Rattus norvegicus: one gene and its partners. The protein of the gene in region 3 interacts with the protein of the main gene of each other region in a biochemical or structural test. Links are inferred from orthologs where the notes say so. Each region holds a gene or a part of one and is shown on either strand. Other genes may lie near its edges.

Evidence for each region.
Region 1: the proteins of Prmt5 (region 3) and Coprs form a complex in vitro, tested with the Homo sapiens proteins (3 studies listed by BioGRID, with this or other methods). The link is inferred for Rattus norvegicus from reciprocal best matches to the Homo sapiens genes PRMT5 and COPRS.
Region 2: the proteins of Prmt5 (region 3) and Snrpd1 form a complex in vitro, tested with the Homo sapiens proteins (2 studies listed by BioGRID, with this or other methods). The link is inferred for Rattus norvegicus from reciprocal best matches to the Homo sapiens genes PRMT5 and SNRPD1.

What each region holds. Positions count from the first base shown.
Region 1 is NC_086034.1:82,421,336-82,426,686, reverse strand, and holds the start of Coprs (coordinator of PRMT5 and differentiation stimulator), read right to left. Parts: upstream 3,208-5,351; 5' UTR 3,182-3,207; coding exon 3,113-3,181; intron 779-3,112; coding exon 712-778; coding exon of another isoform or gene 708-711; intron 1-707. UniProt on the Homo sapiens protein: Histone-binding protein required for histone H4 methyltransferase activity of PRMT5.
Region 2 is NC_086036.1:1,967,167-1,972,517, reverse strand, and holds the start of Snrpd1 (small nuclear ribonucleoprotein Sm D1), read right to left. Parts: upstream 2,845-5,351; 5' UTR 2,728-2,844; coding exon 2,714-2,727; intron 204-2,713; coding exon 127-203; intron 1-126. UniProt on the Homo sapiens protein: Plays a role in pre-mRNA splicing as a core component of the spliceosomal U1, U2, U4 and U5 small nuclear ribonucleoproteins (snRNPs), the building blocks of the spliceosome.
Region 3 is NC_086033.1:31,944,688-31,949,947, reverse strand, and holds the start of Prmt5 (protein arginine N-methyltransferase 5), read left to right. Parts: upstream 1-1,635; 5' UTR 1,636-1,649; coding exon 1,650-1,759; intron 1,760-2,368; coding exon 2,369-2,487; intron 2,488-2,789; coding exon 2,790-2,875; intron 2,876-3,413; coding exon 3,414-3,548; intron 3,549-4,172; coding exon 4,173-4,285; intron 4,286-4,414; coding exon 4,415-4,464; intron 4,465-5,260. UniProt on the Homo sapiens protein: Arginine methyltransferase that can both catalyze the formation of omega-N monomethylarginine (MMA) and symmetrical dimethylarginine (sDMA), with a preference for the formation of MMA.

The DNA of each region.
Region 1 (5,351 bases), on a different chromosome or scaffold from region 3:
AATAGGGGCTCAAGAACTAGAGAGTGGAAAGTGTTTATTCCAGGTACAGGACTTCTTTCTGGAGCCATGAAAACATCCTAGCCGTAGTTGTGACAGTTGTACACACTGTCATGGAGCTGAATGAACCAGATCATATGCTGTAATTTAGTTTAATGGTAAACACAAGTTATATGTCTTTTGCTGCATTTTAAGACTTTACTATGCACCTTAAGTTTCTCATTGGTGAAACAGTCATCAGGTTGTTGTGAGTTTATTTGGGGGGGGGGGGGACAGCTGGATCTGTGCCTGAAATACAGTGTGCACTCGGCACCGGCTCTGGCCGTACCCATTCTGTGCCCAGGTTGTACAGACCAGCACTGCCTGTTAGGACTCTCCTCCAGGATGGAGCAGAGCATCACGGAACTACACGGTGGCGAGTATCCTGGGTAGCATCACTACAGATCTTCTAACTCAACCTGGATGTGTAACGGAGACTTTTCCTAGCTTCACACACCAGATGCTTTTCATAGTCTCAAGCTGTTCCTCCCAGTGAAATGGGGTGGTTTGGATCCACGGGCATCCAGTACCTCCTGGAAGCTTGCAAACCAACAGTTCCACTCAGACAATGGGCAAAGAGGGCTGGCCAACACGAGAAGACAGACAAGACAGAGGGACCGTGCTGTTTCCCTCCATCTCTTCCAGGGGACACCCCAGTCTCCACCGTCTACTTGCCTAGTCGGTCCACGTCTAGCTCAGTCTCTGTCTCCCCACCAGAGAGGTCAGCTGTGGCAAGACCAGCCTGTGGAAGAAGAAATAATCACCAGGAAACTGGGTATGTGGGGCGTGTCACTGCTCTGAAGCCCCAAACCCTCCCTCCCATACTGCCCTGCGCAAGGCATCACCCAGCAGCACTTCTCCGCTCTGACCACTGGGTGTGCCCTCCTGCAGTGGCCAACTGACAGATGCTGGCTTTGCTCTCACCCCTGGGCCCTCTTCAGAAGTCTGGGCAGCAGGACTTCCCCAAGCTCACAGACCCTGAGGCTAGATGGGACAGCTCCCTGGACTCAGTTTGTAACCTCAGGTCTGTGGAAACTCTTTCCTCTAAGTTTATGAACACTTCAACTGCCCTAACTTCATCTCTCTTCTTCTTGGCTAGGATTGACTGCTGTTTCCCGATCCTGCAACTTCTCTGCAAACCTTTGCCTTTTTCAGTTCTTTGTCTCAATGTCTAACAACTCCTAACAAAGCCATGCCCGCAGTGGTCCATGGGGGAAGCCGCCTGAGTTCTAAACACTGGAAGGAATACCTAATCCCCACTGCCAACCAGGAATGTTATGCCCTGTTACTTCAAAGTTCCCCAAACTTTATTCCCCCCAAGATCTCTCTGCAGTGGAACCCGTAATGTCCAGAGCGTGGATGGTCAGGCAGAGTTCATTCAGTCTTAGCCCTGCCATTCATTCAGGGTGTGACCTCTAGAAACAGAAATGGTTGTTATGTCCTGGGAGGGGTCCTATGATGAAGGGACATTCATAAAACATCCACTATGGCTTGGAGACAGAGCTCAGTGGGAGAGTGTTTGCCCTGTGTGCACAAAGCTCCACACTGACTTTCCAACCCTACATAACATACTACAGGTGGGTCATACTCAGAATCCCAGCATCTAGGAGGGAGGGGCAGAAGGGTCAGAAATTTAAGATCATTCTTGGCCACAAAGTGAGCTCAGATCCTAGGCTACATGAGACCCTATCTCAAAAAAAAAAAAATTACAATAAAATAAAGCCAACAACAATAACAAAACCACCTGTTAAGACTTCAAGGAGGTAACATTTCTTTGACTTTAATCCACTTATTTATTTATTTATATATTTACTTTATTTGTATATAATTGTATGTGCGAATCTACCAGGAGGATCCCTGGAGAGGGAGTTGCAGAGGGCTGAGACATCTGTTGTGGGTGCGGAGAACTAAGCCGAACTCTGTAAGACCACCAAGGTTGTCTCTCCGGCCTTAAGCACCCTTCATCCTGCATGTAAACTGTACTTAGCACTCACCCAAATTAGCGTTCATTATCTAGTCACTCCTGAGCTTTAACAGCTCAATTCATCTCTTGTAGTCAGTGATAACCATGGGCCACTGTTGCCCCCCTAGGAGCTGAACGTCTTATGTGAACCTATGCCCATCTCTCTACTCCTGCTCACTCTTAGCAAGTGTAATCACTCCTCCACTCAAAACCTTCACAGGCCCTCTGCTGCCATCACAGACTGGCGATGGCATCCATATTGCCTCTCACGTTCCTCAACTTGCTGAACACAGTCCTCTTCCTGAAAAAGGCCTGCCCTCCGACCCAAGCTCCAAGGCCATTTGCCCCGTACTTTCTCATATCCAGACCTTTGCTGGGCCTACCTTCTCACCCAAAAACATCCTTTCCAGCTCCGCCCTGACTTTCTATTTTGCAAAAGTAATTTTCTTTGCAAATCTATTGGTGCTGTCGCTTCAAGTACCATCTGATGGTACAAGTACTGATGTCCAAGTAAGCATTCCACTCATACACCCAATTAGCATATACGTTGTGCCAGGTACAGGCGTGGCTTCTGGTAAAAAGGATGCCTACAGTCAAGAAGTCACTGGAGAGGTAGACGCAATAAGGGCAGGTCGTGGGAAAAGGCTGCATTGGCGGGCACTTGAAAACAAGTTTCTGGAAACCCCGTAACACGACGGGCTCTTTCGTTTTGTCAAATGGGGAAAAGCACGGGTGACATCAGCGGCACATCCCTATCAATGGCCAGAGGTCCTCAAGGTAAGGTTAAAAAAAAAGATGTTTCCTCGCCGCTCCCGCCTGACCCGGCCCCCTGCTGCTGGAACCAGCTCGGGGCGGCCAGCTCCGCGTTCTTTGCATTCACTCCCGCAGGAGCTCCCGAGAAGCCCCGGTGTTCTCTCCCTCCCGCGCCAGCCACAGCCTAGGGCTCGGGTCCACGCGCGTTTCCGCGCCCACCGCCGTTACCGGACAGGCTCTGCGCGCACTCGCGCGGCCCCGGCGTTTCCCGGGTGAGCGGTCTCTCCGGAGCGCTCGAGCCCCTCGACTTCCAGCCCGGGTGGTCGCGGGTGCCCGCATCCCCCACCCCGTGGCGCTCACCTCCGCGCTGGGGGCCTCCCATGCACTCGGCTCGCCCGGCCCCGGACCGGTGGCTGCCTGAGGGTCCATGCCGGGCCGCCCACAGCCAGGCGCCCGGGACGCTCCGACACGTGACGGCTGACAGGCTGCGGGCGAGCCAATCGGCGCGGCGCTGCGACCGAGGGGGCGGGGCGGCGCAGGGGCAGCGCCGGACGACACGCCCACCTGCGTTGTTCCGGACCGCAGGCTTTCCAGCCCTATCTGACCTCAAGCGCTGGTTTAGAAGAGCCTTAGGCCAGACTGGCCACTGAGCGTTCCTAGGCACCCGGGACTCCCCAACCGCAGTGTGAAATGACCCGAGAGCATATAGAGCCCACCCGGCTGTCACACAGTCACAGCCTCTGGGCTCCATCACTTTCGCTCTTCCCCATCACACGGTTTTCCAGATCGCCCTCTGCACCTGCACTACAGCATCTCTTAATGAGTAACTCAGCAGCCTGGAGAATTGCTGCTTTGATTTAAGGATAGTCTTTAAAGCCAATCCGCTAGGAACCCGGATAAAGGATCAAAACAAACTACGTGCCACCACAAAACGTGGTGTGTCATCGAATTTGGAGTCAAAGCCAGTGCTCCAAGTCAGTAATGTGACTATGTTGAATAATTCTCCGTTATAATTCTCCGTTTTCCATTTTCGTCTTTCCATGATTAATCTGGCTATTTTTACTGGCATATTGAGTACGGGTAACTAACCTAACTTCGGACACGGGTTGTTAACACCCCCTCCCCCAACCCCCTTCCCGCAGTTCAAAACCGTTGGGTGATAGAAACTGACAAAGCTGTCTTTAGTGGTCAAAGTCCTACAGTGTACAGTCTGGTTTCCCCCTAATACCTCAAAAACATAAGTCAGCGGCTAGCTGGAGATAGCAGTGTGTGTGTGTGTGTGTGTGTGTGTGTGTGTGTGTGTGTGTGTGTGTGTGTGTGTATGTGTGTGTGTGAACAACCCAGCTGCAGAGACAGCCTTTACTGCCTCCGCTCCCCCACAACAGCCTAAACTCCAGCAACAACACATGTCTACTACACATATAAGTTGGCGTATACATAGACATAAATACTAGAGATGAAAATTTCCCACCTGGGCTAACAGTGCTTCTTTAAGAGCCATCAACCGTCTAACAAAAATCCCAAGACCAGGCGTGAATACACCCCTTTAAGTTGCTGGCGAAGGTTGTCCAAGAGACGACTATCAATATATTATAGGCTCTTGCTATTGCCCTTGGCTGACCTTCATAGGTGAAAAGTAAGTTCCTACGGTTGAAGACACCATATACTTAAACGCAGGGTCCAGAGGCCCCTGACTGGAACTTAGCTGAAAGCCTCCTCCCTGAGGGATCAGCTTTCATGATTCCAGAAGATGCTATGCAAGCTTCCAACGGAGGAAAACAACGGATAGTTCTACCTAGCTATGAGACCTATGGACCACGACAGTGACCAGCACGGCACAATAATCCTCACAGAGCAGTAATGGTGTGTATGCCTCGGCAGTAACCAACAGCGTTCTAATTGGACCTAAAACCTGCTCGACAAGAGGGGAATCATACTAAGTACCAGAAACCCAGCCAACTGCTCGGTGTCAGTTAAGTGTGGCTCTTGGAAGAAAAGCAACAACCACCATGTTATGAAACCAGCATGATACTTAATTACTATGATACTTAAATACATGATAATTAATTACTCTAAATATCTGTCCTCAGACCCACAGACAAGTCCAGTTTCAGTCCTCATCGAGGAAACTCTTTGTAACAGATGGAGACCATTCCAGAAAACCACAACCAGTCAACACGCAGAGCTGTGGAGCCCAGTACCAACAGAAACATCTACAATACAACTCCCACACCTGAGGCTCAGGATCTCTGCAGAAGAGCGAGTGGAAACAATGTAGGAGCCTAAGTAACAGTTTTCTGTGCCATTGTGTCTCTTAGAAGTGTCAGAGGTCCCAGCTAGACAGTTTCACCAACATAACTGCCTGATCATGAGCTGGACAAAGATGAGACCAGTAGACACGGGTAGGGGAAAGCTCCCAGAGCTCCACCCTGCACACAGGCAACTAAGGATGCTGAGAGTGGGAGAAGCAGTCTTCCCAGGAAAGAGCACCTTTGGTTAACCAGTACCCGATGGTCTGCCCTGAAACACAGATACACATACAAGTAACACGGTATAGACTGAGCAGATTGGATTTAGGTACACATCCACACACACATTT
Region 2 (5,351 bases), on a different chromosome or scaffold from region 3:
AGTTCCATTCAGTAATTCAGACAAAAAGAATGAAACAAAAAGAACAACGCTCATTAAACAAACACAAGGAAGAAAACAACAAACAAAAAACCTTAAACAAAAACATTTCAGAAACAGTCTTCTCACCTGTGATTGTTCCATGGACTTGCGTTCCATTCTTCAATTCAATGGTTACGGTTTCATGACTCAATTTCATCAAAAATCTATAAAAAGAAATAAAGTCCTGATTTTTTACCTTAACATTTTAAGTCTTTTGATGAAGTCGGTAGAGTAAAAATGCTAGAGATCAAAATCTTTAAAATGCCACAACAGTTCATATGGGGTCTGGATAGCTAACCAGCAGTGCAGAGCACTCCCCTCTCTTGCAGAGGACCCAGTTTGAGTCCCAGAACTCACACGAAAGCTCACAAACATTTGTTATCTTTGCTCCCAGAGGATCTGGAGGCCTACGCTGACCTTAGGCACCAGGCAAATTTGTGATGCATACATGCAGATAAAACATTCACACATAAAATAAACATCTTAAAAATAATTCTTCATAATAAATACACAGTGCTTAACTTTTTCTGAACCAAACTCATAAACTTATAAAAGAATGAAGCAATAAACTTTCCTCTGGCATCTTTGGACGTTACTGGGTCCACCTGCAGCTCACAGGCTGCAGAGCACTCAAATAAGCTTTCACCCGAGTCTGTAAACTTGGGCTGTCCTGAGCTTCCGACTAGAGAATACTAGAAAGAGACTATTACAAAACAACCTTAAATGAAGATATCTCAAGATCCTGGAGTAGCACTGGGAGTGGTGGTGCATCCTTTAATTCCAGTGCTTGCTAGACAGACAAATGGGTCTCTGTGAATTGGAGGCCAGCCTGTTTTACATAGTGACAGTGAAATTGTCTCAACAAACAAAAGACCCTAGACTAATTTTCAGACACAAAAAGGAAATAGAATTCTAATTGATAGCATAAGATTACATGGTAGAAATAAAGAACTTCTCTTTTCCTGCATTTTGGTAAACAGGGATATTATTCTAACCCACAAGCATACATGTAAGATTCTACTTTACACAAAGTAGGCTATTCTTTAATGGCATCAATAGTACTTGGAGCTTATTTAGCAGTTTACACTGGGGATAATTCCCTAAAAATAAATATTCCAAGAGCTAGATAGTAATCTACTATATGGAAATGTCAACTACCCCACTGTGAATGATGTTTTCAACTTTCTGCCGTTACAAACCCATTTATGCAGGCCCTCACCAGTAACAATTAACAATCTCCCAATTTTCTATCTATGCAAAAAAAGAAAAAACGGTGGGGGAGGGGTGTTGGGAAGAAGCACAGCAAGCCGGTATATATGCACAGAGGGTGAACGCTTGCTGCTGCCAAGTCTGAGGATCCCAATAATGGAGAACCGACTCCTCCTACGGGTCCTTTCATCTTTGTGCACACAAACTTCCCCCATAAATAAATGCAACTCTTTTTTTTTGAGACAGGATTTCTCTGTGTAGCCTTGGCTATCCTGGAATTCATCAGGATGGACTTGAATTTACATAGATGCTCCGGCCTCTGCCTAATTTGTGGCACCCTCCACCCTGCACATAAATATAATCTCAAAACCCAAACTAAATCAAACCATGGTAGTGCATCATTTAATACAGCTCTAGGGAGGCGGAGGCAGGAGGATCTCTGTGAATTCAAGGCCAGCCTGGTCTACACAGTGAGCACCAAGCCAACCAAGGAGCACACTCGCGCACTCTCTCACCCCAAAACCAATCATTACCACTAACAAAATCAATTAATTGACTAAAATATTGAGCAGGGCCATCAAGTTGGCTCAGCAGGTAAAAAGTACTTGCTGTAAAGGCTGAGGACCTGAGTTTTAATCCCTGAGACCCTGGTGGAAGGCAAAAACAAATTACCAAAAATTGTCTTATAACATACCTGTGCACGAGCACACACAAATAGTAATTTACTTTCTAATGAGCAAAACCAAGAAAAATGTATGCTTGTAATCTAGCACTTGGGAAGCACTTTAAAGTGTCCAAAGGCATTCTGGTCAACTACAACAGGTCTTGACACAAGAAACTAAATATTTCTAAAAACTGGCTTAGATATTATATACCCTGCCCCAGACTTGGCCACAAGTCTGTAAGTTTGGAATTAATCAAACCAGCAAACAAGACTCTAGTTAGGCTCCACTTCCGACATAATCTATGCAATCAGGAGAAATTAACTTGTTACCTTTTGCCCCATCCAGAGACACTTTGTCTTTCCTGAGTCAGAAGCCTACATTAACGAGTTACATGCTTTGGTCGGTCAAAATTAAGGAGAACTTAATCTAAAACGTCTTGCAAATCGGCGTCGTTATTTGCAGATAAAACCATCCTACTTCTAAATCCTCGTCACTGCAAGTGCTCCGACTCGCCACGAAAACGGAGGGACCACTGCTCCGTTTAAGTCGCCGGATGAGAAGTGGACAGAGACGGCTTGGCCACTTCATTCCTGTAAGACCGGAGGGGGTTTGAACGCGCCGGTCCCTTGCCCAGGGTTCTGGGCGACGAGCAGGGCGCGGCGGGGCCCGGGCGCCGGAGGCCGTTAGCAGGCCGCGCGCACGCGGCTTTCCCGCCTCCCTGGGAGCACAGCGGCCCGGCCTCCTAAGCTGGCCCAAACTCTCTACCCGCCGCTCTCCCCCAGCCAGGTAACCCTCCTCACCTCACGAGCTTCATCCTAGCGGCGCAGTCTCCCTTCTAGTCCAACTGTCCACGGAATTCAGGCTCCAAAGACCCACAGACTAGGAGTATGAATGGCCGGAAGAGCGCGCGGAGACCTGCGGATGCGCGACGAGAACGCGGAAGCCGCGCTGCCTTCCGGCGACCGGGAGAGCGACAGCGGCTCCTAGCGACGGGAGGAGCGCTTTGCGCCTTCGGAGGGCGGAAGGGCTGGTGGACTACACCTGCAGGAGTCCGAGACCACTTATGAATTTATTAAAACCAGTTGTGAAGGCCTGGAACTTTCACACGTCAAAGGAGGAAAAGTTCTGAGAGAAGCCCTCCAAGATCCGAGCCTAATCCTTGGGATCCACATGTTGGAAGCAGGGAAATCAATCCTGCAAGTTGTCTTTCGTTGGCTAAGCTAAGCCAATCAGATCTTTGGACAGAGTTTTAAATAAACCTTTCATTTTATATATAGTAAGTCCTTCGACTTAAAAAAATCCAATTCCTTATTTGCAATAACCACACAGTTAAATTTAGTAACACAACATCTACAATTGATATAATTACAAATATAGTGCAAATAATTTCCACTATCACAAGAAGTTTGGATAATATTAATTTATTATCATTTGATTCTAAAACGTATTATTTTTGGTCCTCAGGAGAATGTTGTGTCTGAAAGCAAGGGAATACAACTGCTTACTGTGCTCTCCAATATCTAGAATACTGTTTTCATAGAATATGCTTTTGTCACAAAACGCCCCTGTTCCAATGTATGGGAACTGGTCCCACGGGTCAATGAGATCAAAGGAGGAGGCAGGGAAGCCCAGAATTGCAGTGTGCAGTTTATGGGTGACTTACAACAGATACATTGGCCTGGGCATCAGGAAAAGCACATAGGTCCTTGTGATTAGGGTTAGAAGGTATGTGGGGTATAAACAGGTGAAAGTTATTTCAGAGCTAGGCATGGTGGTGCAAGTTTGGGGCCAGCATGCATCACCAGATTTCACCCAACTAAGAGTATTTCTTGTCTATTTCAAGCTAATCAGAGTCAGGTACATCCTTAGGCCAAGGTCTTGTCATAAAGCTTCAGACAACTCTCTCGTGATTTGTCTATTTTATTCTGGGAAGCTGACCATGGTGACTCAGGGATAATTTTGATAGTTTCCACTCAAAATAATTTTAGTAATGTCAAGATAAATCTATAGTCCTTTATTTTATTTTATTCTTTAAATCTATAGTCCTCTATTGATATGCATGAACAATTAGATGCTTCTCTCCATTAAAACGTGCGCTTTATAAGGAAGGAGACCTTGTGCATATCACTCAATGCAGTAATGCCAATACTGAGCAACTGGTACTCTTACCCACAAATCCCCTTTCCACTTGGGGTCATCTTCCTTCTAACCCATCTCTTTCCCCCTCAGTAATATAGGAATGTCTAACATCTCATAGTTCATTAAGCTCACTCTTCTTTTCAGATGTTTGTACATGTAATGTTATAATCTAGTTAAAACGTATTGTCAAATAGAGGAAACCTGTCCCCCCAAAAGAGAAAAGCCATTGTCTCTAGATGAATATCAAACACATTTTTCTTTTGTCTTTTATTTTGTAGCTTGATATTTTTGTATGTTTCAAGGGTAAGGATGGACAGCAGGAAGAATACTGCTGCAGCCTTGAACTTTGTAAAATAATTCTCACTCTATTGCAGTATGAATGTGTGCTCCGAAGGGAAGACAGCAACAAGGGCTGAACAAAGTACATGCTCTATTTGCTGCTACCCACAGGGTCAAGTCTGGAAGTGGGGTTTTGTGTCCTCTGTGAGTTGGCAGAGGTTTGTATGCTGTGGCAGTTATACTGATCACAAAAAAAGAACAAGGAAATGAGAATGTGATGACTTGGGGGCAATGTACCCATTTAAAGAACTTGTTGTGATAAGCAAGTGCAGAAAACTACATCCTGAGCTAGAGATATAGTTCAGTTGGTTGTGTTTGTCTAGCAGGCAAAGGCTCTGTGTTCAGTCTCCAGCACAGCATAAACCAGATGTGGTAGTTGTCTTAGTTAGGGTTTTATTGCTGTGAACAGACACCATGACCAATATAAGTTTTATAAAGGACAACATTTAATTGGGGCTGGCTTACAGGTTCAGAGGTTCAGTCCATTATCATCAAGGGAGAGCATGACAGCATTGCAGCATTCAGGGAGGCATGGTGCAGGAGGAGCTGAATTCTACATCTTCACCTGAAGGAACCCAGGAACAGAATGAGCATTCTCAGGCAGCTAGAAGGAGTGATACACTTCCTCCAACAAGGCCACACCTTCTAATAGTGCCACTCCCTGGGCCAAGCATATACAAACCATCACATTCCACTCCCTGGCTTCCACAGGCTTGTTTAAACACATGAGTCTATACCTATGAGGCCATACCTAAATACAGCATAATAAAAAAAGTATATTTAGTTTAACTTCCAAAGTTCCCATAGTCTATAGCAGTATTATCAATGCTAAAAGTCCAAAGTTCAAAGTCTCTTCCAAGATCCATCCAATCACTTAACTGTAATCCCGCAGTTAAGACAGGCAACCAGCTGGGCAAATGTCAAACTCTGCCATCTCCATGTCTGATGTCAGTGTGGTCT
Region 3 (5,260 bases):
TTTCCTAGTCTTGTCATGAGAAAAACATGAGACAAGTTCTAACAGAAGGGTATCTTACAACATGTCTGACGAGCACTCATCAAAATTATCAATCATTAGAAACGAAGAACATCTGAGAAATAATCTGTAGGAGCCTACGGATAATTGCAACTGAATGTAGGATGTATACTGCACAAGGTCCTAGAGCAGCAAAAGGAGGGGAGGTGGTAGTGGTGGAGGTGGCAGGGTACAAATGCACCCTCAACACCCTCACGGGACGTTTTCTTAGTTCTCTGGTTTCCTGACTTTCACATGACCCAGGACTCCATGTCCTTTCTGTATTGCTAAGAGCACTGTCCTCCAGAACCCCTAATCTCACTAGTCATGTCCAAATATTGCCTGGTTCAGGTCTCTCTAGACGACCAGTTCAGCCTATCCAGTCCCCAAATACGATTCTCCCTGACCTCTACCCACTGCAGGGACAAAACGATGAACGTCGTCATTGTTGTCATTATTATTATTATCATTATCATTAATTATTTTCTCCTGGCTCCTTGTTAGTTAGTCCCTGAATTCTGTCAATGTCTCCTGTCGTGGATATCGTGATTAGTTTTTGTTTTGCTTTTGTTTTTGCTTTTTTAAGTCAGTGTAATACAAGGCGAATTATTTGGGAAGAGGGAACTTCAGCTGAGAAAAGAACTCCGTCAGATTGGCTGGAGGGCCCTCAGTATCTATGGGCTTGTTGTCTTCAGGGATGTGTTTCCCTTTTCCCTTCCTAGGTCTTTCCTTGCCTCTGTAATTTCCTTTTGCTCGTGCGAGCAGCTGTTAAGAGTGGGAAATGCAGGTTCATGGTTCCTGGGCACTGTAATTTCTGGTGAATTTCTTTTCTCTGAGGTGTGTGCGCACGCGAAGATATTTACTTACATTCGTGTTTGGGACAGAATCAGTAGGAATTAGTGGGTGATTTACTACAGTCTATTTTTTAAGTGTAGCAAAACAATGAGACAAAACTCATTTTAATAGTCCAGTCACCAAAATTTTCATACTCAGAATAACTTGATTATATACAAAACAGCTTTGAAGAGAGGAATGAGAAAGGCCAGCATTAGATGGGTGCAAAATCGAACCAAGACCTGAAAACCACAGCGTGAAAGAAATAGCAGAGGATATAAAAGAAAGACGTTTTGAAGTAGCAACATTGGGAGATGATTAGATTAGCAAGGGATGCAAATAAAGGAGTACCAGTCCCAACGAGCCAGCCAGGAGTCGAACCTGGAATCTTCTGATCCGTAGTCAGACGCGTTATCCATTGCGCCACTGGCCCGCAGACATTACAGGCCGGCCCAATAATGATACTTCAGACTTATCCCGCAGGGCTGCATGGGACCTGTAGTCTCACTAGAGCGCTACAGATGGACTGGGCATTCTGGGAGATTGCAGAGCGTCAGCAACGAGAGCCTGTCATTGGTAGAGCAAGGGTGCCACGCCCATGTCACTGTGCGGTCTGCGGATTGGTGGGAGCAGCGACTTGGTCCCTCCACCTCCGCTTTGGGGCTGTAAAGACGCTCTGGTTGTTAAGGCGACTTGTCCCGCCTCCCCGGGACTGTTCTCCGCTTTGTGATTGGCCTCTAATAGCAAGGAATCCCGGCGTGGGCTGCGCGAGGGAAAAGATGGCGGCGATGGCAGTCGGAGGTGCTGGTGGCAGCCGCGTGTCCAGCGGGAGGGACCTGAATTGCGTCCCTGAAATAGCTGACACACTGGGTGCTGTGGCCAAGCAGGGGTGAGGGCCGGATTTCCTCCAGAGGAGTGCGGGATCCAAATTTGGGGAACAAGGAGGGCAGACTAGTACCTCGCAGGGGATGAGGGATTGAGACACCATTACTCCTTGAGTGGGGAAGACTTCGGCCCCAAGAACGAGAGGTTGAAACTCTGGGGGGCGTGTGGTCACGGAGTTCAAAAGTCAGGGGAGTTACAGGGCAGATTTAAAAAGGGATGTACAGTAGGCCTTGGAGACGGATTATTTGAGAGTAGAGAGAAGTATAAGGAGGCGAGCGAGAGAAGAGGTTAATCTGGCTTGAGGAGGCATGGGCAGTGTTGGGACAGGTCTAAATTTGACAGTCCTGGAAAGCCAGTGAAGTCAGGGAAGAAAGAAATCTACTTGACTTCTATGTCCATTTCTTGCTCATCGGTTCATGATTGTGTTTTGGGAAGAAATTGATGCACAGTGTTGTGAAAGTGATGTGTCCCAAGATGGGCTGAACTCAATAGCCCGTGGGGTGACTGATGATGGCTTTATGGAACTGTGCAAAATCAAGATATTAATATCCCAGTTGCTTGGATCTCTGGGCCCTTACTTTACATGATGATTCTGGGTCTGTCACGGTTGTAGGTTTGATTTCCTCTGCATGCCTGTCTTCCACCCGCGTTTCAAGAGGGAGTTCATTCAGGAACCTGCTAAGAATCGGCCTGGCCCCCAGACACGATCAGACCTACTGCTGTCAGGAAGGGGTAGGGACCTTACCCTGTGCCCCTTAATTATTAGAGGCAGTAATATCTTCTGCTTTATAGGACTTAATTTTCCTCCTCTGATTTGGTTATATATTGGCTAGCCCCTATGACATAAATAACAACTTTTTTTCCCCTTTCTTTCTAAAAGTTGCAGTCCCCCCATTCTTCATCAGGCTATCCCTCTATCAGAGAGAAAAAAGTCTTGCTTTTCACCTCTTTACTCTCTGCTGAGAACTAGAAGTTGAGCAAGAAAATGCCAAACCCCATTGAATCTTTGTCTTTTCTTGGGTGGGGGAGTGCAGACTGGAATACGCTAATTGTGGGAAAGCTTTCTCCATGGATTCATCCAGACTCAAAAGTGGAGAAGATCCGAAGGAACTCTGAGGCGGTAAGGCAGTTTAATTTCTCTGTGGGATCCCTTTAAAAGTTAGGCCTGACCTGGGTATTGTGGCACCTATCTGCAATCTCAAGCATCTGGGAGGCTATTCCCACATCTGGAAGATAATGAGGGAGGACTGAGAATTCCATGCGGGGAAAAGAAAAGGACATAAAGTAATTCTGTCACTAAACTAGGTTAGGAGAGTAACCTGGTAAATCATAGTACAGTTAAGTGTCTGAAGAAATGTGTGATGGCTTACATCTATAATCTCAACAGAGGTACATCTCCAACTCAGCGAATCGCTGAATTCCAGACCCTGTTTCAAAAGAGGAAACGTTTGGCTCTGGTGGAGTATGGCAGCTTACAGCCGTAATCCTAGCATTCTGGAGAGTGAGTGAGGACTCCTTCAGATTCCAAGTCAAGCTGACTTATGGAGAAAATTCCAGAACAGCCTGGGCCACAGTGTCAGAGCCAGTTTCTACTCTACCTTACCCCAGAAGTATTTGGTTCTTAGCTCTTAATGGTTTTCTTTCATCCTATGTTTCAGGCTATGTTGCAGGAGCTGAATTTTGGGGCATATCTAGGTCTTCCAGCTTTCCTATTGCCCCTTAATCAGGAAGATAACACAAATCTGGCCAGAGTTCTGACCAACCACATCCACACTGGCCACCATTCTTCCATGGTATGACTGAGGGTTCTTTCCTACTGTGTATCACGCTAGCTGTACCTTTTGCCCAGTTATGCTCCCCCCGCCCCCCGCCACGTGCATTTGGCAGAATTGAAATGTCAGTACTGTTCTTCCCCCACCCCGTCTAAAAGCGGTGTGCAGAGAGTTTCAGAACATAGCTTATGGGGCTAGAGATGTGGCTCAGTGGTAGATCACTTGCCTAGCACACAGGAGCCTCTGGGTTTGAGTCTTAGTACTATAAAACTAAAGATAGAGAAAATACTTAATTATTTCTATTTAAAGTAAAAGACAAGCTAAGTCTTTGTATAAGGATATGTATGAGATCAAACACGTGTAATCACATTTAGAAAAGCATATAGGGCTGGAGAGATGGCTCAGTGGTTAAGAGCACTGACTGCTCTTCCAGAGGTCCTGAGTTCAAATCCCAGCAACCACATGGTGGCTCACAACCATCTGTAATGAAATCTGATGCCCTCTTCTGGTGTCTGAAGACAGCTACAGTGTACTTCTATATAATAAATATAATAAATAAATCTTTAGAAAAGCATATAAAGAGATTAACTTCTGGACCCACTGAGTTCGAAACAGCGCTTTAACAGGGTACCTGTTCATATTTAGTTCTGGATGAGGGTCCCCTTGGTGGCCCCAGAGGACCTGAGAGATGATGTAATTGAGAATGCACCAACTGCACACACAGAGGAGTACAGTGGAGAGGAGAAGACGTGGTTGTGGTATGTCTCTCTTGCTGCTTTACCTGCACAGGGCGGGGTGAGGACTATGGGGAACGGATTTCGAGTGTTCCTTGAGTTATAAGCCATATGCATTTGACAGGGTCTTTCTTTGTTTCTGATTCTGGGCAGGTGGCATAACTTCCGGACTCTGTGTGACTATAGTAAGAGGATTGCAGTAGGTAAGTCCACAGGGTTCTGAGATGTAAGTGGCCTCCTGGGAATGAGAATCAGCAGGCTGGGCATGGTGGCCCACCACATTTCATTTCAGAACTTGGGAATTGGAGGCAGGCAGATCTCTGGGAGTGTAATTAACGCTACCCTGGTCTATATAATGAGTTCCAGGATAGCCAGGACTATGTAGACAGACCCTATTTTTTAAAAAAACAAAAACAAAAACAAAAAGCAAGCCAAGCAGTGGTGGTGCACACTTAGGAGGTAGACGCAGTCAAGTCTCTGCAAGTTTGAGGCCAGCCTGGTCTACAGATTGAGTTCCAGGGCAGTTAAGCCTATACAGAGAGACCTTGTCTCAAACAAAAGTTAGAATCAGCAGTTTAGAAAGTTCCAGGACTGGCCTTATGGACCCCTGCACACACATGGTACACACGTGGTATATGTGCACATATACACAACACACACACACACACACACACACACACACACACACACACACACAAAGTAAATCTATGAAAAGGAACCATTTCATGAGGCTGGGGGTGTAACTCAGGTGGTGGAATCTAGATCAGGTCTAGATGCAGGAAGCCCCTGAGTAAGACCCACAGTGCACATGCAGTCAGATGTCATGGCGTATGCCTGCAATTCCAGCCTTAGGAGGTGGAGGCAGGAGGATGAGAGTTCACGGAAAGTTCAGTGCTATATTGGGTTACCTGAGACCCACTCTGAAAATACAACCAGGTGGCCATTCTGTTTTCATATACCTTTAATCCCTGAACATGGGACGCAGAGGAAGGTGGGTCT